Linked DNA regions of Saccharomyces cerevisiae S288C. The gene in region 2 interacts genetically with the main gene of each other region. Each region holds a gene or a part of one and is shown on either strand. Other genes may lie near its edges. The genes, in order: COQ10, SLX1, ULP1 and SMT1.

The links.
Region 1: mutations in SLX1 (region 2) and COQ10 together harm fitness more than expected from each alone (negative genetic interaction), as found in Saccharomyces cerevisiae (2 studies listed by BioGRID).
Region 3: mutations in SLX1 (region 2) and ULP1 together harm fitness more than expected from each alone (negative genetic interaction), as found in Saccharomyces cerevisiae (2 studies listed by BioGRID).
Region 4: mutations in SLX1 (region 2) and SMT1 together harm fitness more than expected from each alone (negative genetic interaction), as found in Saccharomyces cerevisiae (2 studies listed by BioGRID).

What each region holds. Positions count from the first base shown.
Region 1 is NC_001147.6:306,032-312,089, reverse strand, and holds COQ10 (ubiquinone-binding protein COQ10), read right to left. Parts: upstream 1,779-6,058; coding exon 1,155-1,778; downstream 1-1,154. Other genes in the region: CSI2 (Csi2p), read left to right, coding at 1-748; ERMES complex subunit MDM12, read left to right, coding at 1,951-2,766; RCL1 (rRNA-processing endoribonuclease), read right to left, coding at 3,049-4,152; PLB3 (lysophospholipase), read right to left, coding at 4,681-6,058. UniProt on the Saccharomyces cerevisiae protein: Required for the function of coenzyme Q in the respiratory chain. May serve as a chaperone or may be involved in the transport of Q6 from its site of synthesis to the catalytic sites of the respiratory complexes.
Region 2 is NC_001134.8:668,656-676,727, reverse strand, and holds SLX1 (endonuclease), read right to left. Parts: upstream 1,416-8,072; coding exon 501-1,415; downstream 1-500. Other genes in the region: glucan 1,3-alpha-glucosidase ROT2, read left to right, coding at 1-371; MCX1 (Mcx1p), read left to right, coding at 1,594-3,156; YBR225W (uncharacterized protein), read right to left, coding at 3,399-6,101; TDP1 (tyrosyl-DNA phosphodiesterase 1), read left to right, coding at 6,431-8,065. UniProt on the Saccharomyces cerevisiae protein: Catalytic subunit of the SLX1-SLX4 structure-specific endonuclease that resolves DNA secondary structures generated during DNA repair and recombination.
Region 3 is NC_001148.4:510,416-519,346, forward strand, and holds ULP1 (SUMO protease ULP1), read right to left. Parts: upstream 3,764-8,931; coding exon 1,898-3,763; downstream 1-1,897. Other genes in the region: ECM23 (Ecm23p), read left to right, coding at 686-1,249; VTC3 (vacuolar transporter chaperone), read right to left, coding at 4,096-6,603; CTF19 (Ctf19p), read left to right, coding at 7,236-8,345; IRC15 (Irc15p), read right to left, coding at 8,319-8,931. UniProt on the Saccharomyces cerevisiae protein: Protease that catalyzes two essential functions in the SUMO pathway: processing of full-length SMT3 to its mature form and deconjugation of SMT3 from targeted proteins. Has an essential role in the G2/M phase of the cell cycle.
Region 4 is NC_001142.9:138,636-147,229, reverse strand, and holds SMT1 (Smt1p), read left to right. Parts: upstream 1-4,662; coding exon 4,663-5,811; downstream 5,812-8,594. Other genes in the region: protein transporter TIM17, read right to left, coding at 1-129; ROQ1 (Roq1p), read right to left, coding at 557-871; SFH5 (Sfh5p), read right to left, coding at 1,186-2,070; IDS2 (Ids2p), read right to left, coding at 2,529-3,938; DNA-directed RNA polymerase I subunit RPA34, read right to left, coding at 6,092-6,793; SCF ubiquitin ligase complex subunit DAS1, read right to left, coding at 7,860-8,594. UniProt on the Saccharomyces cerevisiae protein: Component of MIOREX complexes, large expressome-like assemblies of ribosomes with factors involved in all the steps of post-transcriptional gene expression.

The DNA.
Region 1 (6,058 bases), on a different chromosome or scaffold from region 2:
CTCTAGTTTATGGAGCAACAACAGTGTAATATCAACTTCATCTATTACACCTTCCAGCGTTTATATCCCGGTTACGGACGGAAATAAATTCTTATATCAGGCTCATCATCCTAACGGTACTGTGTTCATTGCATTTGCTGGCTGTTTAGGTGCAATTCTACTATCACTGACGGGTGCATGGATTGCATTGAATATAAAGTCATGGCGAAGTGCTAGAAAGGAAAATAAGCTGAGAAATCTAGAAAATCAATACCAACACGATCCTTTCTACTTCCAAACAAACATTAATGACGACGAAAGTGAAACATCTTCCCATTCTGACGACAGTGACATATCAGAAAAAGTTCTGAAAAATAACTCATCTCGTATGAGTTTGTATACTCTAGGATCCACTTCTGTTTTGAATCTTTTGAACAATAAAACAGATGCCAACGATAACTTCAGATCATCTATGTTTATTTCACCCACCGAAATTCTGCAATCTGATGCCAACAACTCTAATACATGGTCTCAAAGCAATGAGAGTGCTATATATGATTCCTTGTCCAGTACTCCAAGGGAACCTGGTGCTACCCAAATACTGGGAAAGTTTACAGACAGCACTAATCCATTCAATTATACATCATACAATTTAAGTCCCGACTCTGAAGACCGCTCTACTCCAAAATCAAATGTTAGTCAGGGTAAAGTAAAGAAGTACCGTCCTCCCAGTGTTCATCTGGATCAACTGCTCGACGGTAAGGAATAATTGCGTCCCCACCTTTCTACACCTCATTTACACTAAGTGCGACTCGAAAACCTAATACTTCAATTAATGAGAGGATACGTGTAAATTCCTCGCCATCACCATGCGCTGTTTTTAGTACACCATTCTTTTTTCGCATACAGATACAAGCACTAAACTGATCGTACTTTGCCAATGAATAAAATGGTGCATCTGCGTATCAACTTGTTGATTGCGACGGAAGACCAGGAAATTTTGCAGCAAAATATATTTGTTTGTATCCTCCGCCCCTACTGGAGCTTGTTAGAAAGCTTAAATACTATAAACATAACTATACAGAAAAATCTTGTTCTATAGTCTAAAAATTTAACCATGCATACGCTTATCCTGGATGGCATGATCTTTGTTATCTGAAATTATACGGAAGATATCACGGAGAGCCTTCTTTAGAAGAAGGTTTTAGCATTGCTAATCTTACTAAATGGTATGCTCTTTTGGCAAATGCGTTCATCACCAATTCAGTCACAGTTTTCGCAAATATTAGAGAGACACTGTTATATATCCGAGATTTGAATTTAAATCTTAATAGAAGTTCTACCATGGCCGCATTTGGTCTATTTGGGTGAGGCATTATGGTCCATTTCGAAATCAAAAGGTGAAACAAATTATGAGATATTGTTTCTGCAACAACGGTATACGTATGATCAGTATCTTTACAGGTAACATTGCATATAAATTCCTCATCGTATTGTTTGAAACCAACTCGAAGCCCCGCAATGAGAGGCTTGTTATCCACAGGATTTCGTTTATCTACAAACGAATCAACACAATAAGGAATAAATTCCTTATATTGGGCAACTTCTGACACTGCAGCGTAGACTGTGCTTGGAGGGGCGTTTATGGCCTTGCGCAAAACATATCGCTGTTCCCTAATAGTGTGATTGGTACCGCTCAAACCAAAAAAATTTCTTTTAAGAGGATATCTCCCAATTGGCTTGAGCATCGCTTTCCTGAATAATATCAATGTCTGTGAGGGCCTTATTATCAAAACCATTCTCCACGGTATCTTTAGCCGTTTATTGTTTGGCTCCTTATCCTATTATTCGTTTTAAATAGTTCAGGTTTTTCAGACAACTCGATCTTTAAATTTTTCTCTAACATGAGAAAAAGCATGCCATCCTATGTAACGGTTGAAACAGATCATAAGCTGGCTTCAACTAATCCAAATGTCTTTTGATATTAATTGGAGTACATTGGAATCTGACAATAGACTGAATGATCTTATAAGAAAACATTTAAATTCATATTTACAAAATACGCAACTACCAAGCTACGTAAGTAATCTTAGGGTACTAGATTTTGATCTGGGAAAAGTTGGTCCTGCTATAACACTGAAAGAAATAACAGATCCCCTAGATGAGTTTTATGATTCAATTAGAGAGGAGGCTGATCAAGAGACGGAGGAAAATAATGACAACAAGGAGGACAGCGAACATATTTGTCCTGATCGTACTATAGCTAATCATGAAGGACCTAAAGATGATTTTGAGGCGCCTGTGGTGATGCCATCCCCCAACGATATACAATTTTTACTAGAGGTCGAGTACAAGGGTGACTTACTCGTTACGATTGGTGCCGACCTTGTGCTGAATTATCCCGTAGAAAAATTTATGACTTTGCCAGTAAAACTTTCTATCAGTGATATCGGTCTCCATTCCCTTTGCATTGTTGCATGTTTATCAAAGCAACTATTTCTTAGCTTTCTGTGTGATGTTAGTGATCCTGCACTGGATGACAACCAAACTGTTTTAGATCCTAAGGGGCCAATTCTGGCAGCTACTAAGCCATTGGAGCGAATATCCATTGTGAGAAGTATGAAGATTGAAACCGAAATAGGGGAACAATATCAGGGACAGGGCTCAGTATTAAGAAGTGTTGGAGAACTAGAACAGTTTTTGTTTACGATATTCAAAGATTTTTTAAGAAAGGAGTTAGCATGGCCAAGTTGGATTAATCTGGATTTCAACGATGGTGATGAGTAATTTAACAAAGATAGTTTGAAAATAGTGTCTACATAAAAAAACAAACATTTTTGAGCTGGAAAATTATATTTTGTCATGAAGTAATCTATTCTTAACGCGCTTTTCGCATACGCTCTTTGATGATATTTTAGATGACCCAAAAGAGTTAAAGGAAATCATCAATGATCCTCCAGTAATCTTATACTCTAGACAGTTGTCCGTGAAGTTACACCTAAATAATCATATATATATATATAACTTATATACAGTGGTCTAATATCTATTGAATAATATTAGAACATGCTATGCAATCTTTTTGCTTGTGTTTGTGAAACCAATACCCTTGATAGTAGCTATCATGTCTTCATTATCCGCCTCGTCAACTGGTTTTAAAAAGACTTCAGTATTAAAGATCTTCTTAATATCTCTCAAGAGGATTATGAATCTTTCGTCTATCTGTTCCTTATTAATTCTCAATCTGCCGATATCTTCTTTCCCGATGACCATGTAAACAATTGCTAATGGAAGCTGGTTTCTACCAACTGCTGCACTCTTTGATATTTCTTCTAATAATTGACAGGCAACTTTTTCACCAAGTTCTTCAGGTATAGAACCTGCATCACCGATATCTTCTGCAAAATAACTCCAACCTTTCTGCTTGGACTGAGCAACCAAAGTAATACCCCAGCCTGGACTCTTCCCTGAATTTTCACCTCTCCAGACATCTGCCGTTATGTTAACTTCGCATTGCAGATTTTTCAATACCTTCTTAGCACCATCGATCATTCTATTCACAAGCGACGGACTTACTCTGGTAGAGTATGCTACACCGGTAATCGATGAAATTATGGGCCTATCTATTTCATGCATAGTTATAGGTTGCGCAATCAAAGAATCAACAACCAAATGCACTTCGCCACCTCCTAGTGGTGGTGAACCTCTTTTCAAAGTATGTAGGGCGCACTCTCTAACGCCAAATTTTTCCATAACGGGCATGAGTCCCCATTTGATAGCTTCAATACCGGCATCGTTGTGAGATGCAGTTATGCCTTTGAATAATATAGAAAATTTCTTTTTTGAAAATGGAGCCAAATATAGCATTGGTTCGACGAAATAACCTACCGGTTTGGAACTAGGGCAGATATGAGTTGATGCACCACCAACTATGATACCGGGCCTATAAATCACAGTAGTACCGGTATAAGAAATTTCAATTACACTCCCGTTGGTGACCGACTCGATCAGCCTTAGAAAAGACACTTCATAATCTTTCAGACCGGGATTTAAGTCGCCTGAACGGATTTTTTCAATTTTTATTGGTTTCCCTGATAATGTTGCCAAGACGATCCGTAACCTAAAATTTTGTGACCCTTGGAAAGTGGTGTATTTGGGGGCGGAAGATGACATTGCTATACTTTTGGAGGATTATCCTAGTGGAAAAGTGTTGACAATGGTGAAGCTTGACAGATGTTATACCCTTACAACATACGTAGCTTATGAAGGCTCATCTCATCGGCACTTTTTTGCAAATTTTTCTGAAATTTTTTCAATCTCGAGTCCGTGAAAAATTACATTACCAATATGGCGAGGGTAATTCTGACATCCTCCTTCAAAGTAAGTGCAAGTAATAAAAGCAACTTGACTACCCATTTAAAGTATTAATACGCTTTGCGCGGGGTTATAATTATAAAGTTATATCTTTTAAAGAAGAGGTCTGCTATATATAGACCTCCGATGTCATTAGTGAAGTTCCTTAAACATGGTCTTGCCCGAAAGGGATGATACTTCAATGCAAAGGGGAAATGCTCATTTTCTTTTTTTATTTTAGTTTTTTAGTGATTTTGCTAGTCTTTCAGCTTTATGTTTCGTTATTTTATAGTGTAGTTCTTTGATTTTTATTGCCTCATTTTGTATACCGTTATTACGCAAGAGATATTATACTGCTCCGGTAAACATCAATAAAGTAAGCATAATCATAGCAGAGAACTTTACACTTATGCCAGATAAATGTGATCCAGAATTAGTAGCTGCCTTTTTCTCAAGGGTTGCAGTAGCCGAAGGAATTTCCGAAGACGAAGATGAAGACGATGATGAAGACGATGACTGGGAAGCTGAAGATCCGGCGTAAAGACTTTCTTCTTGTCCTATGGAGCTGTTGAAGCTATTGACGTTGATAAAGGAGTGGTGAACATCCTTTTCAACATCTGGTAATGGGGTAGTATCCAGGGTACCATTCCAGCAATAATTTTTAAAACAGGTTTCACATTCCGGAGGCAAAGTAATATTCAAAGCTTGTTGCTTACGTCTAATGATGGCGCAGCCGACGCAGCCCATGAATTCAGGATCATCAGTGAAGTTGTTCCTAGTTGCAATTTCAAACCCGTTTTGAATCATACTTCTTCTTTGGGATTCGGAATATGATAGCTTGAACGCGCTCTGATTACTATTGAAAGAGTATTCTGCATTTGGCAGATAAACAACTAGAGGTGGAATATATTGAAGATCGGTCAAATTATTAGCATCGCAACCGAAGAAGGTTGGTTTCTTGTTCAAACCCAAATTAACGAATGTATTCGTATCTGGAACATATGGGAAGGACATACCTTGACCTTGCTTAACGAATTGACGCTCATAGGTATGGACTAAAGAAGAACCGTCAGGCCAAGCCAATCTCATATCGGCAGAATTATCTACCGCAAAAATAATGTCCACATCACGTTCCTTTTGTATAAGCGGTAACACAGGAACATTTTCGTCGTCTTCACCGCCGTCAACTAAGAATAGGCTGTCTGAATCAACAATACTTGTCGTATAGTCACTATCCAAAAACTTCGTGTCTTTAAATGGATTAGGACTGTAAACAGCGATATCATTAAAATCTTGAGATAAATCCTTTAGAAAATGTCTTGCTAATCTTGTGATGAAACTAGGTAAGTGAGTGGAGTTTATTCTCAAAAGAAACTGGTTAAATAAGGTGGAGGAAGTACCCATGATAAAACCTGCATTATCAAAGCCTGCGGTACATTTTCCCCTTTCCAATGGTACACCATTGGAGACATTCGTTCCAAGGTACTTAACGTTGGCAAAAGAGTTCAAAGAGGGATCCCAGGATCCCATTTCAAAGGGATTAAATTCAAAAACCGTTGCGTTCAAATTGATGACTTTTGTTCCAGGATACCTACCGTCCGCAACAGAAATTGGAAAAGGCATTTCAGCATTTTGAAACACTGGGAAATCCCTAATGGAAGACCAAGTCAGGCCTATACCCCCTCTATTTAGAGAAGGGAAAAAATTATACGCCAAGGCTCTGCCC
Region 2 (8,072 bases):
CCCCTGATACCGAGGGACGAGCCGTTGGAGATCTTTATGTTGATGATGGAGAAACTTTTGGCTACCAAAGAGGTGAGTACGTAGAAACTCAGTTCATTTTCGAAAACAATACCTTAAAAAATGTTCGAAGTCATATTCCCGAGAATTTGACAGGCATTCACCACAATACTTTGAGGAATACCAATATTGAAAAAATCATTATCGCAAAGAATAATTTACAACACAACATAACGTTGAAAGACAGTATTAAAGTCAAAAAAAATGGCGAAGAAAGTTCATTGCCGACTAGATCGTCATATGAGAATGATAATAAGATCACCATTCTTAACCTATCGCTTGACATAACTGAAGATTGGGAAGTTATTTTTTGAGGGAAAAAAACGAAGTGATATCTTTACATCTTTTTAGCTCTTTCTTACAAAGTAAACGTAAAAATATCCGTAAATATAACATATAACCATTATCTATAGAAAAAAAAGAACCGAAAATTGTGTCAGGCCCTACTTCCCGTGAGCTAACTTCATTCTTGTCGAAAACTTGACTAGGGTCGTCCAGTCGCAAAACATATCACATTTCGGACATTTCCCACCTCGAGGTATCAAATTTCTTCTCCCTACCATCAACTGTTCATCATCTAGAAAGTACCTGTGAAGACATTTCAAGTGGTTAACACACCCACAGTCTTTATTATTGCAAAGCGCTACAAACGGCTTCAGATTTTGCTCTTCAGACGTGTAGTCAATTTCTTTCTCACAAATTTCACATCGCACTACCCCTGTAGTTAGTTTCTTTTCGAAAGTTTCGAATATGTTTCTTTCATTTTCAATGACTTTAGTGTATACAGCTTCCACCACTTTTAAATTCTCATCACTATGATCCATGAGAACATCCACAGTTTTCTCCTTTGGTTCTTCAAGCGCATTTTCATTTATTTGTATATTAATCGGAAATCTGTCTCTTTCAATAAAAAATTTGTCCTGTTTCCAAACCTCCCAAGCCTTTATATTAAAAACCTCGACTATCAAGTTCATCCTTTGAAAAAATTCATGCTTTAAAAGTAACTTCATTAATGCAACTTTGTGATGTAAAGTTCTTCCACCTGCTTTATGCTTTACAACACGATCTTTTTCGGCAATATAATGCGTTTGGTACCCATGTTGCCATGCATGTTCAAACTGTAAAGCTGCTATCTTACTTGGGAAGCCCCGCACAATCATTATCATTTCCCAGGGCCTTGAACCGTCACGTTTGGTTCGATATGCCCCTCCAACAGCCAATTTCCCATTATGCTGCCTCAAACGTCGTACTGGGTTAGGAGTTGATCCAACGTAAAATGATTGCCTCTTGTTAATCGATTGTAGTAGATAACAACAATAAAAATCAGGAAACTGATGCTGCTGTATTTTCTGCGACATGGTACCTTTCTTATCTTTTTAATATTTTTTGAAAAAAGAGAACATTAATTTGACAATATTTTTTCGATGATAGAAGGGAATAAGTCATCAGTGGTATATATTAAAATTAAAAAGAAAAGCAAACGGCTCATCAAACAAAACCATAGAAGACAAGGCACTCTAATTACATTTCACACTCATGTTGAAATCTGCAAGCCAAAACTTTTTTAGAGCTTATTCTAGTAGAATTGGTCGATATGCTGCTACAGCATCAGGGAAACTGGCACAGTCTCGTTTATCGAATATACCCACTCCAAAAGCATTGAAGAAATTCCTCGATGAGTACATTGTTGGTCAAGAGATTGGTAAGAAGGTTTTAAGCGTGGCAGTTTATAATCACTATTTAAGAATCAATGACAAGCAAAAGAAAGGGGAATTACAAAGGCAGAGAGAATTGATGGAACGAGAGAAAATCGCGGATGATAGGGATGAACCAATTTTCAGTGGAAACAGCGAATCAAAGGCTGGTTGGAGGAATCTTCAAAGACAGTTTAATTTAGCAGGTAGAGAGGTTGACGAAGATTTAGAGTTAAGCAAAAGTAATGTCCTTGTCGTTGGTCCCTCAGGTTCTGGTAAGACTTTGTTGGCAACAACATTGGCGAAAATATTAAACGTTCCAATTGCAATTACAGATTGTACACAATTGACTCAAGCAGGTTACATAGGTGAAGATGTTGAAGTATGCATTGAAAGATTGCTCGTAAATGCTGAATTTGATGTTGCGAGAGCAGAAAAAGGTATTATTGTTCTTGATGAGATTGATAAACTAGCCAAGCCTGCCGCAAGCATTGGCACTAAAGACGTGTCCGGAGAAGGGGTTCAACAGTCATTATTGAAAATCATTGAGGGCCATAAAGTGGAAATTACCGTTAAAAGGCCTGTTAAGCATGATATTGACGGACAAAAAAATCAAACTACAACAAAGAAGGACGAAGTATTTGTTGTAGACACTTCAAATATTCTTTTCATGATTATGGGAGCTTTTGTTGGTTTAGATAAGCATATTGTTAAAAGGATAGAAGATATGAAGAAAATACAGAAGGCAGGAGAGTCTGTTGAATCATCGAATAGTAAAGAAGTTGAAAAAGAAAGAGCGAAGAAGTTCAGATTTAGCAATACGCTTGAGCAGGTTGAATTAGATAACGGAAAAAAAGTGTGTGCTTTAGACTTGACCACCCCCACAGATTTAGTTAGCTTTGGTCTAATTCCTGAATTAATTGGCAGAGTCCCAATTATAACTGCTCTGCAGCCTCTACAAAGAGACGATTTATTTCATATATTAAAAGAACCTAAAAATGCCTTATTGGATCAATATGAATATATTTTTAAGCAATTTGGGGTAAGATTGTGTGTTACACAAAAGGCGCTAAAGAAAGTTGCTCAATTTGCTCTCAAGGAAGGAACTGGCGCCAGAGGGTTGAGAGGGATAATGGAAAGACTTCTGCTAAACGTTAATTATGATTGCCCGGGTTCTAACATAGCATACGTTTTAATCGACGAAGCTACTGTCGACTCGTTACAGGAAACAGAGCACTCTTTGGCTTCCCAAGTGGACGTAAAATACTATTCTGGTGATGAAAAGGACAGTTTAATTCGTGACGTTTCTGAAGAAGATAAAAAATTAGGAGTTATGCTAGAAAAAGAGTTGGGTCATTCTGCTAACATTCATACCCCAACAATTCCCAAGAGAAGCTTAACATAAAAAAAAATGAATGGTATAGAATATATAAATATAGATGTAATAAATGTAGTAAATGAACAAATAATCTTCCTACAAAGTACTATGCCATGGGAAGTAAAAAAAATTAATAAATATTGGCTAAAGTGTTTCAAATTGGTTCTACGATACTGGGAGACTACTCCTTATCATAATGCTTTTTGTCCAGTAGTAAAAATTGAAGTAATTCTTGAACAATTTAAAAAAAAATTGGAACGGCGGCACAATTATTTGGTATATGGCAGCTTTGGCTTTTGCGCCACCACATACAAAGTTCTAAAGCAGCCAGCGTTGTCATCGATTTTTCCTATGTGTTCTTCCACATATCTTTTGAAAAGAGTGGTGGGGTCGGTATCCTTTGGAGGACAACTACTATCTGGTAGTTGCCTCCTTAACATGTAGTCCCACATATCTAAAGAATTAAATTCATTCAAAAAGCCCATATCTGTTTTGAAGTCACCAGTTTTCAAACTTAGGACCGAGGACTTGATGCCTGTAAACCCTACATCCTTGAATGTCCTCGTTAAGTGTTTTGTAGGATGGATATGTAAGCCTTTATTTATCGCATCAATAGCCATAGCATCAAATGTCTTGTCCCGTTCTTTTGTAGTCAAAAACTCTTCTGATGAATTATTTGCTTTTTCGGCATCGGCGTTGCCAAGAATTCCAGTATAGTATGTGTTTGAAATCCTTAAATCTGGAACAATTGCCAGCGCGTACCCGCCAGGAATTATTGATCTGTATATTTCCCTAAGTAGAGCTTTCCATTTATAATAACTTAAACTTGTCCAGACCCACGGGCATATTACAGCAGGTATAGTGTCTGATGCAAACGGCAGTCTTAATTTTAAATATTCTTTACCATAAATAGCTGCGCTTTTTGCCCTGTCAAGTCCTTCATTTGGAAAGGAGTTATCCGAATTAGAGGATATTGGTGATGACAAAGGTGGTTCATCTTCAGGCTGAAGTTGTGCATTAGAGGACCTCTTCACTTCCTTTGGCAAAATAAATTGGGTCGGTAAATCGATTTCTTTGTAGTTGTTCAAAGTCCGGCAAAAAAAATTCTCCAACCATTCATTTTGATGTGCTTGGTTGGCTGATTTGACATGGGGAGCTTTCTCTGTCCGAGGGGGACTAGAGATATGTGACTGTGGTTGAATTTTTGGAGAAGAAGAAGAAGATATGCTAGGTGAAACTGAAGGGCTTGTAGTATGTGAAGTTGATGCAAGTTGAGAATGCTTTCTCTTGAAAAAGTTGACGAAACCAGATTTTTTAGTAGCCTTGGTAGGGCTCTTCTTCCTTTTGACAGCATCTGCTCCCGAGGACGGCAATGATAAAGATCTACTTGAAGCGAATTGGTCGTTTAGAGGGTCTTCCTCAACTCCCTGATTGAAGTTGTTTCTAGAAATACGTTCTTTTGCATCATCTGTAAAGAACTTTCTATTCATGCAATCATACATATACTCTGAAGCATTGGAAGAATTCAATTCGATAACTTCTTGTTCGTCAGAAACTATTTTCGCTCTTGAACCCTTTCGTGGCAAATAATTTTGTAAGTTTGTTAAATACTCAGGAGCAATTTCACTAGCATTCTTATTCTGAGCGTCATTGTCACTGCTGTCAATCATCCAGGGAGATAAATCTAATGCGAAATCTGCGATGTTCAAGCTTGGTTCATCATACGCCAGCTGCCAACCGCCCAGGGTTTTATGCAGCGGTCTTATTAATAAGATGTCAATTTCGTCTAATGGATCCGATATTACTGGCCTTGGAGAGTTTGCTTCTATATCTAACTGCTGAATATATAATGTAGGGTCACTGATCTTGTTGCTGGTGGTGCTGATTGTTGGATTAGAATGTTGTCTTGTGGTTGGTTTTCTTTTTATTAGTTCCTCCACTACTTCAGATGAAAAGAAGAATGAATTTGATTGCAGTAAAAATTTTTGAGATTGAGCCAACCATAATTGAATCAAGGATTCAATTTCAGAATAATCTTTTAACGGGTCAAACGATGGAAAGCATTTAACCTCAGTCTCTATATTTATGATGTTTTCAATGTTAAATGGATAACATTCAAATGCATATTTCCTAGATTCCAAATATTTTGTTAGGAAATCAATGTACGACCGTAATCTTTTCTTGGCAAATATTAAAGAGTCTTCTGGCGAGGAGTCCATGTTAAAAGATAGAAACAAGTCCATTCTATTAAAGAGCTCATTATGATTCGGGTCGTACATTATTTGTTTGAATTCACCGTCTATGCAAATGTTGATTAAATTATGATTTCCTGAAACGGTTTTGATTAGAAGAGAAGAATCTGATGCCGGTAAAGTGTTCCAGTCCCATTTTTTTCTAGAATGGAGTTTCTTGACAACGTTCGAAGTTGCACCGTGTAGACCACCACCTCCCCGGCCATTGCCGACCATATTGGATACAATGAATCGCGGTGCAGAAGGGTCTGGTGAGTAATTAGCTTTCACTTCGGAAGTCGGAGTTCCGCTTCTATGACTATGTTTATTATTACTTGTATGATGATGATGTAGACCTATTTTGGAAAGCTGAGCGGACTTCAGTTTGGATACTGAGGATGAGGCAGCGGAGTCAGATGATCGTCTTGACGAGTTTGAGAACAAGTCATCCGCCAGTCTAAAGTTTGGCAAATGTAAGGGCGAATCAAAGGACGAGAGCTTATCTGAATGATGGCTTACTTGTGGTGAGTGTGATTCTACTGAACTACTTGATTGCGTGGTTCCATTTCTACTCTCTTTTTCTTGTTTCCCCTTTTCTTTGTCAGCATTTTTATGTTCAGTAATCATTGAACTTGTATGGTTATCATGTGCTTTTAAGTTGGAAATTTTGTTACTGGTTATACTGGTTAACCCCCTATCATTCTTACTATCAATGTTTTTTGCTTCCTTATTGGAGCCCATTGTATTTACTTGAGCAGTTTATAAAAAGTGGATAAATGAGGGGAAAAATAATAAAAAAGAAAATTGAACAATCCTTCAATATGTGTCCTTTAATAATTACTACTACTTTACACACTTCTCCAGTAGCTGCTGCTTGTTTCAGGTGATGTGAACAACGTGTTTCAGCGTTCTTGGTAAGTGTTGGTATGGATCCCTTCTGATGTATTTTCGGCGGCCGCACTAAACTGCGAAAATGGTAATTTAATAAAGGGCTTATAAAGAGGAAAATAATGCAGAGAAACGGTGAGCCCAGACAAGAATGATGATAATGTGTTTTCAACCGATCATTAATGTCACGAGAAACAAATTTCAATGGAACTAAGAGGAAGAGGTCGGATGTTGCCGAGAAAGTAGCACAACGGTGGAAGAGCGTCAGGTATAGTGCTGAAATGGAGAATATGGCTCCGGTCAACAGTAACAATGATAGCGACGACTGCGTCATAGTCAGTGAATCGAAAATCATTGATTTGACTAATCAGGAACAAGATTTGAGTGAGAGAATAGAAACAAACGATACGGCAAAAGGTGCCGTTTTTAAACTAATGAAATCGGACTTCTATGAAAGAGAGGATTTTATGGGAGAAGTAGAGGATATGATTACATTGAAAGATATCTTTGGCACTGAGACACTAAAAAGAAGCATACTCTTCAGTTTCCAATACGAACTTGATTTCTTGTTGAGACAATTCCACCAGAACGTAGAGAACATAACCATCGTCGGCCAAAAGGGTACTATTATGCCTATCGAAGCCCGTGCTATGGACGCGACACTGGCAGTAATATTAAAAAAGGTCAAACTTATTGAAATAACGATGCCCCCATTCGCTTCCCACCATACGAAGCTGATCATAAACTTTTACGATAATGGCGAATGCAAAATATTCTTGCCATCTAACAATTTTACGTCAATGGAGACTAACCTGCCTCAACAGGTGTGTTGGTGCAGTCCCCTTTTGAAAATAGGTAAAGAAGGGCTACCAGTACCGTTTAAGAGAAGCTTGATAGAATACCTCAATTCGTACCACCTGAAAGACATTGACGAATTGATTACAAAAAGCGTAGAGGAAGTTAACTTTGCTCCTTTGAGCGAATTAGAATTTGTATATTCTACGCCCTCCAAATTTCAGTCGTCGGGTTTACTGTCGTTTTACAATAAACTAGAAAAACTTTCTGCTGGCACAAGTGCTAGTGATACTGCAAAACATTATCTATGTCAAACTTCATCCATAGGGACATCTCTATCAAGAGCGCGAGACGAAAACTTATGGACACATCTAATGATTCCTCTGTTTACCGGAATCATGTCCCCTCCAGCAAAGGACACCGCTGGGAGGAAGAAAGCAGAAATACTGCCAACGAATTCATTGATTAATGAATATTCGCAGAGAAAAATCAAGCCGTACATTATTTTCCCCACCGAACAAGAGTTTGTCACCAGTCCCTTAAAGTGGTCCAGTTCCGGGTGGTTTCATTTTCAATATCTTCAGAAAAAGAGCTACTACGAAATGCTGCGAAACAAGTTCAAAGTATTTTACAAGCAAGACCCTGCTATGGTTACTAGAAGACGAGGGACGACGCCCGCGCACTCTAAGTTTTACATGCATTGTGCAACAAACTCCGCAGGGCCCTGTGATGCATCGCAGGTATTTAAAGAACTAGAATGGTGCCTTTATACTTCGGCAAACCTCAGCCAAACAGCATGGGGCACCGTTTCAAGAAAACCACGCAATTATGAAGCAGGAGTGCTTTACCATAGTCGCAGGTTAGCAAATACCAGGAAGGTCACGTGCCGTACTTTTACACGTGACCGTAGAGGCTGCGCGGGTAATCCCACCCATGTGGCCGTGCCATTCACGCTGCCAGTCATACCATACGACTTAGCTGAGGACGAGTGCTTTTGCCTTGCTCGTCATGAGAACGACTAACAAGTAA
Region 3 (8,931 bases), on a different chromosome or scaffold from region 2:
AATTTTGTCTCTTTTCCATTACCTATGTGGGTAAAAATTTTCTTTTGCGACTAAGATTCAAGAGACCAAGTTTCTTTTCCACAACGATATATAATAAACCAAATGGTACAAAGTAGGAAACAACAAATAAGGAAAGCTTTTTCTTAAGTAGATTTGTATATTTATCCAAGAATGAACGATGTGTCTCGTAAACAGTAATTCCTTTTAAATTTTATATTTCTTCTATTTTCTGAACTTTTTTACTTAAGAAAAAATTTGGAAATCATTACCTGTAGGATGGCTTAGCTCTGATAATCAACCTACCAAAGTAGTTTGCAGTTATGTGCACTTTTCCCTTCATGTTAACATTATTCGGGCCGGTCTATTGTTAAATAATTAAGGGTCCATTTTAGGCACGGCGGATTCACAGAAAACCACGCAGTGCTCAACGTCATATACCACAAAATCCGTTTTCGTATTAAAAGTGAATGTGTCAGTAAAAGGCATTCTTTTTAGCGTTCATTATTTCCTTTAATATGATGTACCAATCTGTCCACTGCCTATGTAAACTTAAAAGGGAGGCATTTATGACTTGAGATTTGGTTAAATTACCAATATCTCAAGGGTAACAATATTTGCTATACTGGTCATCTAGAATAAAAATACTGCGTTGTAGTGCTGAGTGATAGAACTTTTAAATCATATTATGTTATATAACAAAGAGCAGGGAACAAGCGGCGCTAGTAGCTCTGGTCGTAGAACGAAATTCCACTTCGATCGTTTTGTACAAATGGTTCTGTTCATTGCCGCTAATCCCAATTATTGCTGTTCAGTAGCCAGTATCCCGAAATCTGGTGTCACGCCAGATTTAAAAAGAGCAGATATTCTTGAACAGAAGATCAAAAGCTTAAATAGTGCGCTGAGTCCAAAATTGAAGGAAGAAAGTCGTCTTGGTGGGCCTTTGCATAACCCCTCTATTCTACCAGCCCCATCTTTTTCATCACTACCAATATCATCCAATGGAAAGAAATCTTTAGCAGGATATAGACCTAAAAGTAGGAAGAAACAAACTATACTCCCCAACGGTCAACCAAAAGAGTGCGCCACTTGTGGTGACACCTGGACTTCTCAGTGGAGAAGTGGACCTAATGGAAATGTTGAGCTATGTAGTCGATGTGGCATAGCATATAGGAAAAAAATGGAGAAAAAAATACGATCGCAACAATCCTCCGATGATGGTACTAAAAATTTTATATTTAAAAATAAATAGTTAAGTAGTTTGTAAAGATGGTATATTCAGCGGATTCTTCCTCTATTTTTATGTTTTTTGAGATATTTCGAGCTTTCTATTTTTTTAAAATGCCTGAATTTCCATCTTCAAAAAAAACATAAAAAAGGTACTTTACCACCAAATAAATGATAACCACAATTTACTTTACTTATCCTCCACTATCAAGTATCTTCCTACCAGGAAAAATGAATTTCAAATGATTCGAAATTTACGGAGGCTCAATATAGAGATAGTGTGACGATGTTCATAAGGGCTTTACCGCTTAGCACGTATCTACAGTTTTCACTCAATAATATATTCTCTAGGAATGATTGCCAATAGATTGATATCCAAGAGAAGGTTCAATTAAGGAATTTCATTTCGTTCTAATCTTTTGTTGAAAATAAAAATTTTTACTTATATGTTAAAGCTTAAGATTCCACATAAGGTCGAAGACAATCGTCACTAATGTGTGGTTCTGCCTGCTCATCTCTAAAATATATTACTTTTTGTACAGACATCTAAATTGAGCTGGTGCTTATGCTATTCTTATGATTTATTTTCAAGTGGTTTATTGAACTTTATTCCATATCCAATGATCTGAATATTTCTACTTATGTATAATAATTGTATATTATAAAAGAATAACTATTTTAAAGCGTCGGTTAAAATCAAATGGGCAATAAATCTTCTCATCCTAATCGCATCTTTATAATCAAAATCCAATGGCGCATCTGCACTTCCATAGAGAGTATTCATACAAACATATATTCCACAGTCGTAGCCATTTGGTTGCTGCGGACAATCTAAATGAATCAAATCAAAGTCTTCTCCTATTGTATGCTTACTTTCCTCCATAACATATTTTTGCAAGTCAGTCAGTATAGCGAAACTCATAGCATTTGGACCATTCGATAATGAATCTACGTAACCTATAGTTTTCTTTTTTAAATCAATTATGCCCAACGCCCAGTGGGATTGGTTCAAATTTATTGGTGTAAAGATTTTATCAAGTTTATCAATTTGTGTCTTCTTTCTCTTCATCCACCTCCGGACGCCTTGATAACCCCTTTCTGATAAATTGGTATAGAAAAATGAATTAAACGCCACTGTATTAGGGGTAGATTTTTCAATGTATTTCATAAAAAACTCAATGATAGTGTCATTTAGCCATCTTCGTGGTGCCAAGGTCTTAAAATCACGTACTGTTATCTCTATATTATCTCTATTCATTAACTGAGTATTTTCTCTAGATGCCAAAGCTTTTTGTACTTGGTCATCGTCTTTTTCATTTAATTCAGGAACAAGTTTCTTCTTGGCCAATTGTTCTTTCTTTTTTTTAAGATCTTCTTGAATCTTCTTTCTTTCATTTAAAATTTCGTTATATCTTTTGAAGTCTTTCTCAAACTCTAATATAGATCTATCAAACTTCAACTTTTGATTTAAGTAATCCTTATGTTTCCTTTCCAAAGAAGATATCTTTTTTTCTTTAACAAATACTAAATCATCATCATTTTCATTTCTTGTCTGTAGTCTGTTCTTGTTGTTCTCAATTAAAATTGTTTTGATCTTTTCAGTTAAGTCGATTATAGACTTTTTTAAGCCAGTGTCTTTTTCCTTATCCATATCCATTAATTTTAACTGTCTTTCTCTTTCTTCTTTTAATATTTTTGGAACTTTATATTCTCCGTTGAATATTTGTCGTAAATATGTTACTTCCTCAGATTGTGCTCTCGACACCAGTTTAGTATTGTTAATGTTCTGTTTTGCAACTTTTTTCTTTCTAATAAAGGCTGTCCCATACTGTCGCCTGTCGTAGCTATTTTTCTGATCAGAAGTGTTATTTTCTGAGTTAGAACCAATAGCACTTGTTTTCCACTTATTCCAACCAAAAGGATCTCTCGAAAAAGTTATGCTATTGTCACTATCACAATTGCTTTTTTGAGAAGCCAAAGAGCTGATTGGTGAGGTTGAAGGTGTCCCCACACCTTCACTTTCGATTCTTCTCCTTTTATTTGGTAAGGCCCACGTCGACGTATCGAATTTGTGTTTTCTTGTATCCGAGGAATAATTTTCACGTAGACCATATGGTACGTCACTGCTCCTACTTCCAGAACTTCTGCTCTCAACGTCGCTGTTACCACTTGCTTCTACTTCAGAACCATCAAAATTGCGAGGTTCGTTTTTCACAAATGTGTGCCATAAGTACTTACCTGAGTTCCAAAGAGTTTCTCTTATGCCTCCTATAAAACCAGCTTTACTAGCTCTATCTGACCCATCTTTCATTGATTCTTCCATTGATAAAACACGGCGGTCGTTTAAATAATTGAATCTTGACGTATTGGTTCTTTTTTTATAAATACCACTAAAACTGGCTGATCTTCTAGACTCGGAGGGATTGTTCAATACCCGAGGATAACACCTATATGTAGAAATTGGGGAGAATAAAGGGGAGTAAGGGTTCTTTTTATGATACTGTAGTGTGTTCCGGTGCTTATCTACTTCAACTGACATTATTATGATATCCAAAGGTCAGAGGAAGAAGAGGAAAAAAACTGAAACAGAAGTAGATATTGATGAATAATTTTAATTAGCAATATAGATTTGCGGAGCTGAAACGAACGTTTCAGCTATTTTTTGATCTGGGTTTAACTATCACACACATCTTCTCATTATGTGCATTTTGAATTTTGAAAATAAAAAGAGGCGGCGCCGGCACCTGCTGAAAGCTGTTTAATATGATTTAATACGGAAGAGCAAATATGTATAAATAGAGAACAATTAATTAATTATGATAGTAACTGGTACTTGTGTAATATATGTGTATATAAAAAATATACATGTTCTTATTCCCCAACCAAATTGAAGATAAAATCTTGAATTGGTTTTAGTGTACGGGGTAACGAAGGCTGGGAGGAAACGTTTACTAATCCTCTTTCCCTCCTAGCGGCCTCTTTAAAAGCCACACTAAAGTTAACAACCAAGGTAACGATTAATACAACTGCAACCAAAATAGGTCCCACAGGTGCATCCAAATGCTTACCACTTCTACCTTTAATAAGAGTTAATCTTTTTAAGTAGGTTCTATAAGCCCATACTCCGCAAAACAAAGTCAAAAAGAAATATACATAGGCCAACAGATCAGCTAGTTGTGGAAATTCGGCTTTTTGCACTGAATTATAGATAGAAAAGGTCAATACACTCAGCAATGTGGTTACACTTAACCATCTATTGAATGTACGTTCATTGGCGAGCCAAACTTTTGCCTCAACTTTGACAGGACCGGCATTTTTCAAAAGGTGAACTGGTTTTTTAACTCCCGGAGGTAATTGGAAAGAAGAGGCACTGTCTGTATCGTCGGAGTATGGATCATTTCCATTTTCTGAAATATTTTTTCCAGCAAGAATTTTCAAGAAAGCTGCATTCGTTTTGAATTTCTTCCCTTTTTTGACTGCAGATTTCTTGGGCAATGCAGTACCTTCTTCATCTGATGATTCGTGATCTTCTAAATCTGCAATAACGTGGCGAGTATTCTGATCTTTTTGCCCTTGTCTTTCAGTGGTCTTTCCATCTGGTACAGAGATTTTGGATAACCTTCTCATATTATCAAGTTTATCATGAATGCTCTTTTGTTTTTGTAAAGTTTTCTTCTCTTCTTCGTAAGCCTCCTGAGGGTTCTTTCTGATGTCGGTTTCTAAATCGGGCAACCAGAATGGCAAAATGTTGACATATTTATCGTCTTCACCAAACAGTGAAGCCACACCTTGCAAGTACAAAGAAAATTTTGGAACTTCGTTAACTAAATGTGAATTAGTTAAATCTTTAATCCACTCATAATTAGGCATTTGAGAATTATCTTGGTTTATAACCTTAATCTCCATTACAGAATAGGGGAACTTCGAATATTCTCCTGCTCTTAAAAACCTCAATGGGTTGGGAATATTGGAATCAATATCGTCACGGTGCCAATTCTCAGGGTTCCTAATGGGCCTATTTTTGTCCAAAGAATCCTCTCTAATGTACATGATATTGGAATCGATAGTGACTCTAATACTTTGATCTCCAGGAATTTGGAAAGCAGTTCTATTATAGGTAGCTCTCAAAACTGGCTGCAACTTCTCCTCAACAATAAAGTTTTGGATGTTATCAAAGTCTCTAGAAAGTTTTTCCAGTTCCTCCTTTTGAGTACCCCTTTCTCTTAGTTGATTAATTAAATAGTTTTTGTAACTGGGATCATTTTTAAAAATAAAATTGTTGATGAATTTGGCTTTCATTTGCAATCTGATTTCTTCAAAACTTGAATTACCAGTTTCGGTATTTTCTGTAAAAGTTCTCTTTTCCAAAAATATGTCAGGTTTGTCTAGCAGTTTACCGATCCATCTTAATCTCAGCGTAGGTGCACCGCTGATTTTCAACAATCTGTTATTGTACAAATCAAAAAAATCGTTGTCGAAATATAATGTAGTGATTGTTGGATCATATGACTGTGGGAAAATAACGCTCTTTGATTTTCCAATTTCAACATCTTGGTTGCTATTACCATCACTAGAAAGGCTGTTACTCTTTGAACCAATATTCAAGCGCGCTTCAGGTTGTACGCGGACATCTGATTCTAGATTATCGACGAAATCGTCATTTTCATTTGGAACCGACGCATAAACCAAAGCAGGTAGATGCCTTAAGATTCTAGCCTTAACCTCCATTATATTATCATCATGAACCCAAAACTTGTAGCTTTTAAAACTTGCGTCTTCAAGGTTAGAAAAATGTGATAATTTAGAAGTACTTGCTAATGATTTAGACACCGTATTTGGATGATCATAATTTGATCTCAAGAACTCGTACAGATATGAGATCCTATACAACAAGGGAGAATACTCTTCTGAATTGTTGAAAGGAAGTTCTTTCAATCTGACTTGTAAAAGAGACTTTACAGAAGGATAGTTTGGATGTAATTTATCGTGTTTCTTCACAATCTTGATAAACCCAGTAAAATTTAACCTGTCAAAGTTATCCAATCTTTGAGCCTCATCTAGACATTCTTCTAAGGTGTTTTTGAACTGCTCAGAATTTATTTTTTGGATTTTTTCAGCTGATTTAGTGTTTTCCTCTAAATCATCTAATTTTCGCAAGACAGCATTATATTTGGAAATTTGAAATGTGTAAACCTTTTCTAGTTCTTTATCCAAGGCCTCCACAAAATCAGATTCATTCCTTTCGGACCAACTATCCACGGAACTACGGCCATCATGTATGACGCTTTCCTTTAGTAATTTCTTCAACCTTTCATAGTCGATATATGAATCCTTCCAGGGAGGATATACGTCGTTAGCCAGTTTAATACCAAATAGCATTTTCAAACTCTGAAAACCAAGGACAAATTCTGCTGTTCGCTCTAATAGCCAAATGACCTATAGTGATAATAAAAAAAGCGCTAAGGAGGTACTACTTGGATTAGATCACTCTTATGCGTATTATTACCCGCCAATGGGCCCTCTCGATATTGAGAAGATGAAGTAAGTTCGAGAAAAGATGTCTGATGTAAGCCGCTCTCTGGCCTCTATTTAAAAGTTCTTCCTGGATGAAACCCACTCGAAAGTTGGGTGTGTGCGTGTGTGTATGTTTCCACGTTTCTGCCTTGTGCTTTCAAAATCGCATGCACGTGCTTGCGACTGCACTGTGTTGTATTAAGCCACGTGGGCCCTCGCACATTGAAAAAAAGAAAAGCTGTACAGGGAAAAATGTGCCAAGAAGTCCAAATACCAATAGCTGTGCAAGTTACTCATTAACATCCAAACCGTGAAGGTCACGGCATATATACTCTGGCGTTCTACTATGTGGCCGGTAATGTAACCGGTAATGGTGACTATCTAATAGTTGGAGTCCGCCGAAAAATCAGAAACGCGTAATTTAGACTTATATAAACAGCTATATACCTTGGAGCTAGTGTGATCTTGTTGATACTAGGTCGGCAAAGAACGCAAATATGGATTTTACGTCTGATACGACGAATTCGCACGACACATCGAATTCGCATTTAAGTCTGGAAGACGCTGTGGGTACACATCATGCTGGTGAAGCAGATGTAAACATTGATGGGGACGAGAAGCAACAACTATCGCTATTAGATGATGATCAGGTACGCGCACTGAAGCTACAGGAGGAGAAGGATGCGCTGTTGACAAGGAGAAATACTCTTTTACAAGAGATCCAGACGTACCAAAATATCTTGATGAAGGAAAATAACAGTAAGACTAAAAATGGTGATATCCTCCAAAACGATATCACACAGGATTTTCTTAATCTAATCTCGATCTCATCCTCTAATCCTAATTCGGCGATAAGTGACCGCAAGCGGGTCGAGAGGATCAATGGGCTAACTAACTTGCAGAAGGAACTAGTAACAAAATACGACACGTTACCTTTGTTAAATATGAATCTACGGCTAAGTTATTTGAGAGACCACACATACCCGCATCTTCAAGTTTCTGTGCAATCAAGAGACAGAGTACATAACGATGGGATTGAAGTTTTGGTGGTCAATTATAAATTCTGCAGAAACACGATGAATCCTTTTGAAATTCAGTTCAAAATGTTCTATAAATTTGAAGATTCCACACTGCTGAAGTGGGAAATCTTGCGAATTTCCACAAACGTTAGACTGAAGGCCAAGCAATTACTGGCAACACGTAACTTCCAGAAGTGTCTATTAAGCCTTTATGAGTTTGATAAGATCAAGTCCAAAAAAACTGGAATTTTCCAAAATTTGATTAATTTATTGAAAAGGAAAACCAGGTGTTATCTAATGAATAATAGTGACTCATTAATTGTGGAAAGAGTTATTAGAGAAGGAAGACTCACGACGATAAAATTGCAGATAAATTTCATCATTACAATGCCCGGTGAGAGAGGCAAACCTCGTAACTGTTTTCTGCCCATGAGTAAAATTTCAATAGCGCTATGGAAGGGGGGAGAAAGATTTAACCAGATAGATTTGGACGAGATATGCTACGGACTTATCAAGGAATATGGTGTGAAAACCGGGTTAAAGGAGATCTGCAACGTTTGCCTATTCCCGGACATGTACGCCAGGTGATGTTCCATTTGCCATTGCCAACTGGACGGCTTGCTTAAACGATTCCGATAAGCTCGGATGAGGGAACGGTACTTTACAGACATCATGGGCGGTAAGGCCAAGCGACACCGCCATCGATGCTTGCGACAGCAATTCATTTGCATCGTCGTTTATCATATGAACGCCTAGTATTTTCATGTCACGAGAATCTATCAGAACTTTAATGAAAGGAGAAACTGTAGTATTCTCTTCCCGTGGTAATAACGTGTTATATCTAACGTTCTGTGAGAACAAAACCCTGCCTTTTTGATATGGGATGCGAGCCTTTGCCAACCCCTCCTCAGTGTATCCGACCCAGCCAATCTGAGGCTGACAGTACAGCACATTTGGTGGGAAGCCACAATTCGAGGTTCCGTCGGAGCCTGTACAGCCTATTGATTGAATGGCCCTTATAGCTTGTTCTTCCGCTTTCAGCGCCAGCATGGGGCCCAATGTAACGTCTCCTATGGGTTTAATATGAGGGTACTTTAGCAGACTTTGGGTTTGTACGTCAACATTTTCTACAAAATCCCGTTCGTCTAGACCAATGCTGGAAATATCTAAACCT
Region 4 (8,594 bases), on a different chromosome or scaffold from region 2:
TAATGGCGAATTTCTAAAACCTTTAATCCCATGCCAAACAACACCACCAATGGCACCCATGGCAAAAGCACCACCGAAATCATTTAGTATGACTATAGGACATGGATCTCTCGAATGATCGGCTGACATAACGCTCCCGTGTACTCTATTTTTCTTAACGCTTTCTTCTGAACTTGACTCTTTCACAGCTTTTCCATCTTTTGATGAGAATAGTGCTTTTATCCTCTGGATTTGGCATAAAAATGGAAACTTTGGCGCAAGAATGCCGGGTTACCCACTTTGTTGAACAATAGCAGTAAAAAAGGCGTCCGATGAATGTTCGTTGTATACACCCGAAGATTTCTGTATTCAATGATATATATACATATCTATATGAATATACTATACACTTTATGCACAGAAATTAATGATTTGATAAAGTCCCGCTATCCTTCCGTGGCGCCACTGACAGTGGCATGTTATGAAATGCATATAATCGTTACAACCCCGAACCCGTGCGTGGGCTATTCAGTATAACCCGAATGGTATTGTTAGATATGCTTTATAATGCTGGAGTTCATGAACAACGGCGAGAGTGAACGTCTCCACCCAGACTGCTGCCGTGGCCGTATCGACTGCCGTTTTCATCGTCACCATGATTATTGTTGTTGTTATTATTACTGCTTGTGTTTTCCTGTATGCCTAAATTAGTCAGCTCTACAAAGTAGTATATCACGCCAGGCTGTGTAGGCTGGTTATTGATCCCGAAATCGCCCATGGGAGACTCCTCTACCAAGGAATCCACTCTAGTCTGGTCCCGCTGGCTCCTGAGTATACTACTGTTGCTTTTTTTGTGTGTCCTGTATATTGTTGAAGTTTCCCTCCTTAACATCTTCTTCTTGTTATCTTATCTCTTGTTTTTGCTGACTTTTTTCCCTTGTAAATACCTTTATCTGCGATCTTGTTCACCTTCGGTGCGTTGTCTTTTATATAGGCGGATCTGATCGATCTGTATCCCTATTATTGCCATTACCTTCTAGAAACATTTTCGCAGCCCCTTCGTTTCGTACGGTGTTTTCTGAGCCATATAAGTGAAGATACGTGAGAGATAATACAGTTAGATGGTGATTTACCTGAATATAAGGCAAAAATAAGAAATTATTATAGGGTTTATATAAGAGACTATTATTAGATCATGCCAACAAATCACTCAACGTCCTCGATGATTTGTTTTTGTAAAATGTAAAGGCCGTATTCTGTTGGATGGACATTTGTGACATTTTGCTTGGTCAGATTGTTCTTCTTATCTTTCCCGCCATACCCTTCATATGGGCAATCCTTCAAGTATTGACCCAACTTGCTGCCGTCGGTTAATACCACGAACTTCTTTCTGGTGGTTTCGTCAACGAACTTTTTGATTAAATCGTAAACCCAGCCGAAAACGGTGGGGACATTAACAAAATACTTTGCATATAACAGTTCTGGATAGTATTTTTGAAAGATTCCAATGACCGTCTTGCTACAGTTTTTAATGTCAGAATCCATTCGCCACACGGAGACGCCTTTATAATCGTGGACTTGGGTCATATAGTTGTTGTCGGAGCTGGTGAAATCTAATAAGCTCAAACCCTTTTCCATGAGCCCGATTCTGTAGCGTACAAACTTATCCACATTTTGAAACAATTCTTTTTTTTTGACCAGTTGGCCGTATAAGTTCCAAGTGACAGCCTTTTTATTTGCGTCGCCGTTTGCATCGAATGTCAAAATACCAACGTTTTGCAATTCTGTATTATGGACTTCCTTGTAGGCACAACTCAATGGGTTGAATTCCCTCCTCCAATTCAAAATATCGATCAGGTTCTGTACAATGGTGCTATATTCAAATTGATAGGCTTTGCAAAGTTTGTAGGTTAGACGATCGGCGATTTTTTCGTCATAGTATTTATCAACCTCCTCTTGTGTAAGACCTTCAGGATTCAACTTGTAACCATACAATTCATCGTATCCTGCACATTTTTCCTTGATAATACCAGGAATCGCTTTTTTAAGCTTATCGAAAACCTGCTTCTCACTGTCATTGTCGAATTTCATTTTAAGGATGTTAATTTAGTGAATTAATTACGATTGGGATTCTAAGTAGGAAAAAAAAAAGAGGTACAATTGCAATGTACAGCTCGTTTTTCTTGGTGCGATCACTAATTAGTAAAGCGATGGACATAGTTTTTTTTTTTCATTCCGCCCAATTCTAGCCACACCCGAGAATGTAGAAGTGCTAAAATAACCTTGAACTTTCAGATATAGTGATGATAAAGGAAACCAAAAAAAAAGGAATTAAAAAGAAGGATAATGACTATGTGGTAGTATACAAAAGGAAGTGATTACAAATACGGTGTACCGGCATGTTTCAGCAAAAAAAAATATAATTTTTTGTTATTATAACTGCATTTTAATGAAACACATTATAAGTATGATGGGATTAACTATGAAGAGGGTACCGGACCGCCTTTAATGAATATTGAAGAATTGCGGAAAAGCAGTACTATTCTTATTTAGTTTGCTTGGTTCAAAAAGTCTCGCCAAAGATCTAGCCACTTGTTCATAATAGATTCTCGATGTTGACCGGCAGCAATGTAGTTTTGTCTTTCCCAAGGTTTCAGGATTTTAAATTCGATTATCTTATAATTCAATCTATTCGCTGGCACGCTAGCTATGGGAACAGCACAGTATCCAACGCTATCTATATAACTCCATTTATCGCCAAACAATGCTTTCATAATCTGTAAATCGTTCATTTGATGAAACATCGACCTTTTACTTTCACCTTCAAAATCGTTCCCGTAAATAGTAAAGTATTCCTTAATGCACATTGCTACTGCCCTGTTCGGCTTCAGTATAATAATTTGAGGATCGTCATCATAATTTTCAGCGGAAGATTGGTCTTGGTTCACGCTAACGAGATCTTCATTTATATAATTTACCTTATTCGATAACAATACACAAGTTTCGTTATCAATCTCGTCAGATACTTCAGTGCTCTCTAGAAGCTCATCAATATTTTGCAGTACCAGGCATGTAGGGGATAAATAGCAAATCAATTCGAATCGATCAATTAACGAAAAAAAAAGAAATAGCTTGCACCACTTAAAATTCAATTCGCCCTTGGTTTCGGTCGATTGCGAACTTGCGCTAAATCCCGAGCCAGTGCCGAAATTCATGAATAAATTGATATATTCATCTATTATCAGCGTCTTGATTCCTACCTGGGCCAATTGAAAGGCGTTGACTTCACTGGAATGCAATACCCAGAGATTATACTGAGAATTGACATTCTTCAATGACTCGGCCAATACGATGACAGCCTGTAAAGATTCTGCCGATGAATCGTGCAGTATTGTTATCCAAGCCCTGCTCTGATTAAGAAAATCCCCAGGAGAGTTGGTTGGTTCATTGGAAGATGCGCCGGAAAACGAACTTCTTGGGTTCAGTAAATGTCTTATCCACTGAACGTCCTGTATAGAACTACGCCTTGTAGTTAAAGGTGGAACATCCACCGATGGTTGCCTTATTGGTGATGCCCTTTCGCTTGGTTCCGGAGATCCTAGAGTCAAATCGTTAAGGATATCTGAAACAGACTCTCTCGTCTCCTGTCCCAAAGAATAATGATGTTTGAACAGCTGATAATCCTGCTGCTGTTGATCAGATTTTTCGCGTGTTTGAGAAGATCCATAAAGCCTTTGCTGCTGCTGTGTCGACCCTCTCGCAAGTGATGAAAGATTCATTGCATTTCCTTCCATCATCGTTGCTGGTTCAGGGGAGTACCTATCAGTGGGAGTACCTATGGGAGAATTATTAAAATTTAACAGTAATGGATTATCTTGTGACTCGGACCATGACTTTCTCACAGCAGCGGCCAGATCACCGGTGATATCTTCAGATATACTTTCCTGCTGATTATCCATTTTTATTATCAATCGTTTTTTCTTTCTTGCCCTTTTGATAAATAAATAAAATATATTTGAAAAAGATTGATATCAAGAATCCAGATATCTTTGCGTGGTAAAGCGGTGATTCGTGTTGCAATTTCCACCTCTTTTCTTCTCTGCCAATTTTGAACTCGACTGCACAATTCGATTGCTTCAATCATGCTTGTGTTTCTGTCCTGCAGCGCATGGGGAAATTTCCGAAGCAAAGATGGGAACAGTCAAGAGCAAGAGCAACAGCAAAAGTAATAAAAGACAGTAAAAAGCACAATATACTGCTATCGGCCGTACATAGTAAGTTAGATTAGTGAAAGAGAGGCAGCAAAAACTGCTGATAAGTTTTTGCACCGAAATGTGCCGCTAACTGCTTCTTGTTTTGCTGCAAGTTGAGAACCCGTAGTGTCATAGCATATAAATAATCTTGTAAACGTATACTTACATAAAGACATGAGTAGAGAGCGTAATGACACCAACATTTTTCCCCTCAATGAAAGTGTCGAAAATGATGGTCCGATATCAACAGTCATACAATAATGTGACAGCGGTTTTCTGTTTGTGCGAAAAGAAAACAGTAGAATATAAATTGCGTTTCAATATAGATTTACGAACCCTAAACAACAACACGCATAAGTAATTGTGCTGGCTAAAGGGAAATAGTGCGTGCGCTGCCTTTTGTCAATTTTATCTACAGGAATCATTGATTATGAGGAGGACTTTTTCTCAGTTAGCAACCCGACTATTGAAGTCGAAAGATGATGAGCTGAAATCAACTCTAAAATACTTGACCAAAGGTCCAGTGAAGTTGTTGGGGCCTTTGTTTGAATCTTCTGAAGTTAATGAACAAGGTTCCTTATTGAATCGTTCACGCACTAAAGAAAATAATCTTCAAAATCACCATATAGAGAACATCCTGAGAATACTGAATTCAAATCTACCGGAAGTAGAGTCCAAGAAACAAAAAGTAGCTGTTCATTACGATGTGCTTTTCTCACATTTGAACTCAATAGTTACCCAGGCAACGGATAACAAAAGTTCTTCTTCGAAGGAACTACAAGGTTCATCGTCCGAGGATCTATATGATAGGCTGCTGCTTTTGCAGTATGTGGGCAAGTTAACTAATGTGCGTCAAATAACAGAAATTTTGCTCTCAAAAAAGTTCAACAAATTCGATAAAGTATGGGAGCACAGAGCCTTGTTTGACGAATACCAAAGAGTAGTGATATCCATCCTGTTGTATTATAGAACGCACGATGTGCAAATAAGAAAAGACTACGAGCCTCGTTGGTTGTCCGATTACAGTGATCTACCGTTTCCTCTGCGACGTCTTTTGTGGAGATGTCTAACTTCTAACGTATCTGAAGATAATATTCGTCAAAATATAATTCATTACATTAAGCTTTTAGGCGCAAATTGGAGGAATAACGATTTGATTTTAATTTATCAATCTTTGTATGAAAAGTCACATATATTGCCTGATTTAACGGTCCTGAACCACAATAAAGATGATGGTTTCTCTTTCACCCAAAATCAAATCCTGCTTGTTCGTATTTTAAGGGCTATTTCGAAATGCGTTGAAGAGGAACCAAAATTGGTCAAAAAATGGTTAATTGATATCGTAAAATTGAGTATACAAAGCAAAATAATGCTGGAGTCACCGAAGAAACCGTCCACACCAATAATGGACCAATACAAATTTATTAGATCCTTAGATATTTCTATACGGAGTATCCATCGGACGTGCCAGGATAAACTAATCTTTGAAGATTTACAGGTCAACCTTGGAAGTGTATTAAAGATGATTAATGAAGAAGAACACGAGTTAAAAACACACTTACCATTGAACCTCATATAAGAGAGAACACAGAAAAAGCAGGTTAATAATATTCATATGGCGACTCTAAATCAAGAAAAAAATAATCGTTTGTGTTACACCCGAAATATTGAAATTTCTAATCGTATACACAAATTTAAGTATGCAAAACTAAATAGTAATATTGCCCACACAAAACATTCATCAGTTTCCACCAGCAGAAATGCCTTTTTATATATGTAAATGCGAAAAAAAATCACTGACACACACACAAATGCACATTTTTATCTTATGTTACACACAGTTATACGCACATACGCATTCAATCTCTATGTTTCTTTTTCTTATCCTTTTTATCCTTCTTCTCCCTCTTCTCCCTCTTCTCCTTCTTCTTTTTCTTCTTTTCACTAGACTCCTCTTCATCGTCGTGATGTGAACGCTTCTTTGGTTCTTTCTTATTTTCTTTAACTTCCTCAGCCACATGGAAATCTTCGGCATCATAACCAGTAGCAAAATGCTCCAACTTCAAGCCTTCTACTTTTGGAACATCTTTACGTGGAACTCTTACCTTACTGTAATCAATAGCTGGGATTTTAGCGGTTTCGCTGACAGAAAATACCTTGTCAAACTGTAATGGTGCATTATCCTTGGCAGTGCTAGCAATTTTAAGACTTTCCTTACTTTCCGAAGGAACCAATAAAGTCATATTACTGAGGTTATCCTGTGTTAACGAGGACTCAATATCTGTATCGTCCATGATTTTATAATCGTGTTTATCAATTGTCATGGTTGTAGAGGATTCAAAATCTACAGGCAGAGATTTTAACTTGGAGATGTCCACATTTGATGGGAATTTGATCAGCCAAACCTGTTGCTGTTTCGCTTTTTTTTTGTTATCACCGTTGAGAGGGAAATTCTTTAAATGTTTACATTTCTTGAAACCATCTGGTATGCTGAACTCGTTTGATATCACTTCATCATCAGAGTCTGAATCTGATACGTAATCTTTCGAAAGCTTGGACATATCAATTTTTTGTTAATCCCGTTTATTGAATCCTAGCTGCTCACTGCTCACTCGATCACAGACCTATATGATACCGAATACCCTATAACTTGAGCTATTCAATGCTCATCGATAAAATTTTTCATTTCTTTAATTTCATGTTTGAGAAAAAAAGTTTCGCAACACCCAATAACCACACGCTGCCCTAAGAAAAAACTTTCTCAGGCTGAAAAGAAAATTTTTTTTCATTTTCTAGAGCTTTATGGGCAGAAACAAAATGTATAAATACTGGACAACCTTCTGTAAGGTTATAATAATCTCGACATTCGGTTAATAAGAATTCCCCTACATAAGAACAAACAGCAGTGACTGTAATGTAGTAAGAATGAGAGTAATCCTCCTCTTTCGACTTCAGCATTGCACTCCTTCCCATTTGATACATTCAAGTTTGAATAATCTCAAGAGAAATTTCATGACACTTTTTTAAACAGAAAAGAAGAATTGATTGGCCCTGATGATAATGGTGTCTCTTCTTTCCTCGTCCGATTCGACCATGACGACAAGGGATTTTATCTCGTTCTCTTAATGCGAATGATTTTGAAAAGATGTTGCTTCTGTGACATTTTTTTTTAATCATTTGTGTTTGCAAACGGGAACTTTTCTTGCCAGTGTTATACAACACATGCAGATCTGAGCCTTTATTTTTTCTCATGAGATTATCAAATGTGGGTAATTTGAGGAGACAGATAATATATATAATTTATGATCACGGTGATGAAAGACTGGTTCCTTAACATTCGCAGTTTCCACGGTAGGAGTACGCTTACGAACCCATCGTTAGTACTCTCGGTGACCGCTCTTCTTTAGAGACCTTCCTAGGATGTCTGAGTGATCGTATACTGTAGTATCTTGTGTTTACTTTATCAAACCAGCTTACCAACATTGGAATAGTTGGTTGATTTTTTTCTAGCATCCGAATGGATCTTGTATTTCCTTAATATGAAGTAGACCAGTAATCTGAATCCTGCTAGCTTAAAAAATGCGTTGAATATATATTATTAAATATATATATTTGAAGGGGAGTTGATTACATAACAGTGGCTATTCTTGCAATGGTATCAGAATTATTATTGTTGTTGTTGCTGTCGTTCTCCAGATTCTTGTTCGATTCCTTTGACCATCCATACAGATTACTCTTATAATCATAATGATAAAAGACGGGTTCAAAAATACGTTCATTATTCTCCTCCATAACTATTGTGGGAATGTCATTCAACATCAAGAATCTCAAATGAGGAAAACTTTTCAAAAAAGTAACGTAAATCGACTTGAAGTGATGGATAAGAGCGTGATAACACATAATAATATCTCTTTTGGTCAATGATTCATGAGGAAGTTCCAGGTCAGTGGAAATTGTAGCTGCTGTGTCATCACTACTTGGAGGAATGGCCGCATTAATTTCATCATCATCATCATCGTCATCGATTATTATCATTTCGGGCTCGCTCATATGAGCGGTTGATGTGGAAGTCACGGTGGAGTGTTGATGTGGGTTATTAACGATTTTGGGCACCAACTGGGATTTAGAATTTCTATATTCCAAAAGGTTGCGGTTCATCTTGGTCACAAAATTAGTCAAATTCATTGGTTGTGTTCTAACGCTCGGATAAGCATCACAAGCTTTAGAGTATGGTAACAAAGATAGGTATTTCATCATTTTAAAAATATCCTTTGCAGCAATGTCTTGAAGATCGTGAATATAGTAGTCTTCAGGGAACATGAATATTTTGCCCTTCAGAATGTCACTGAATACTATTTGACA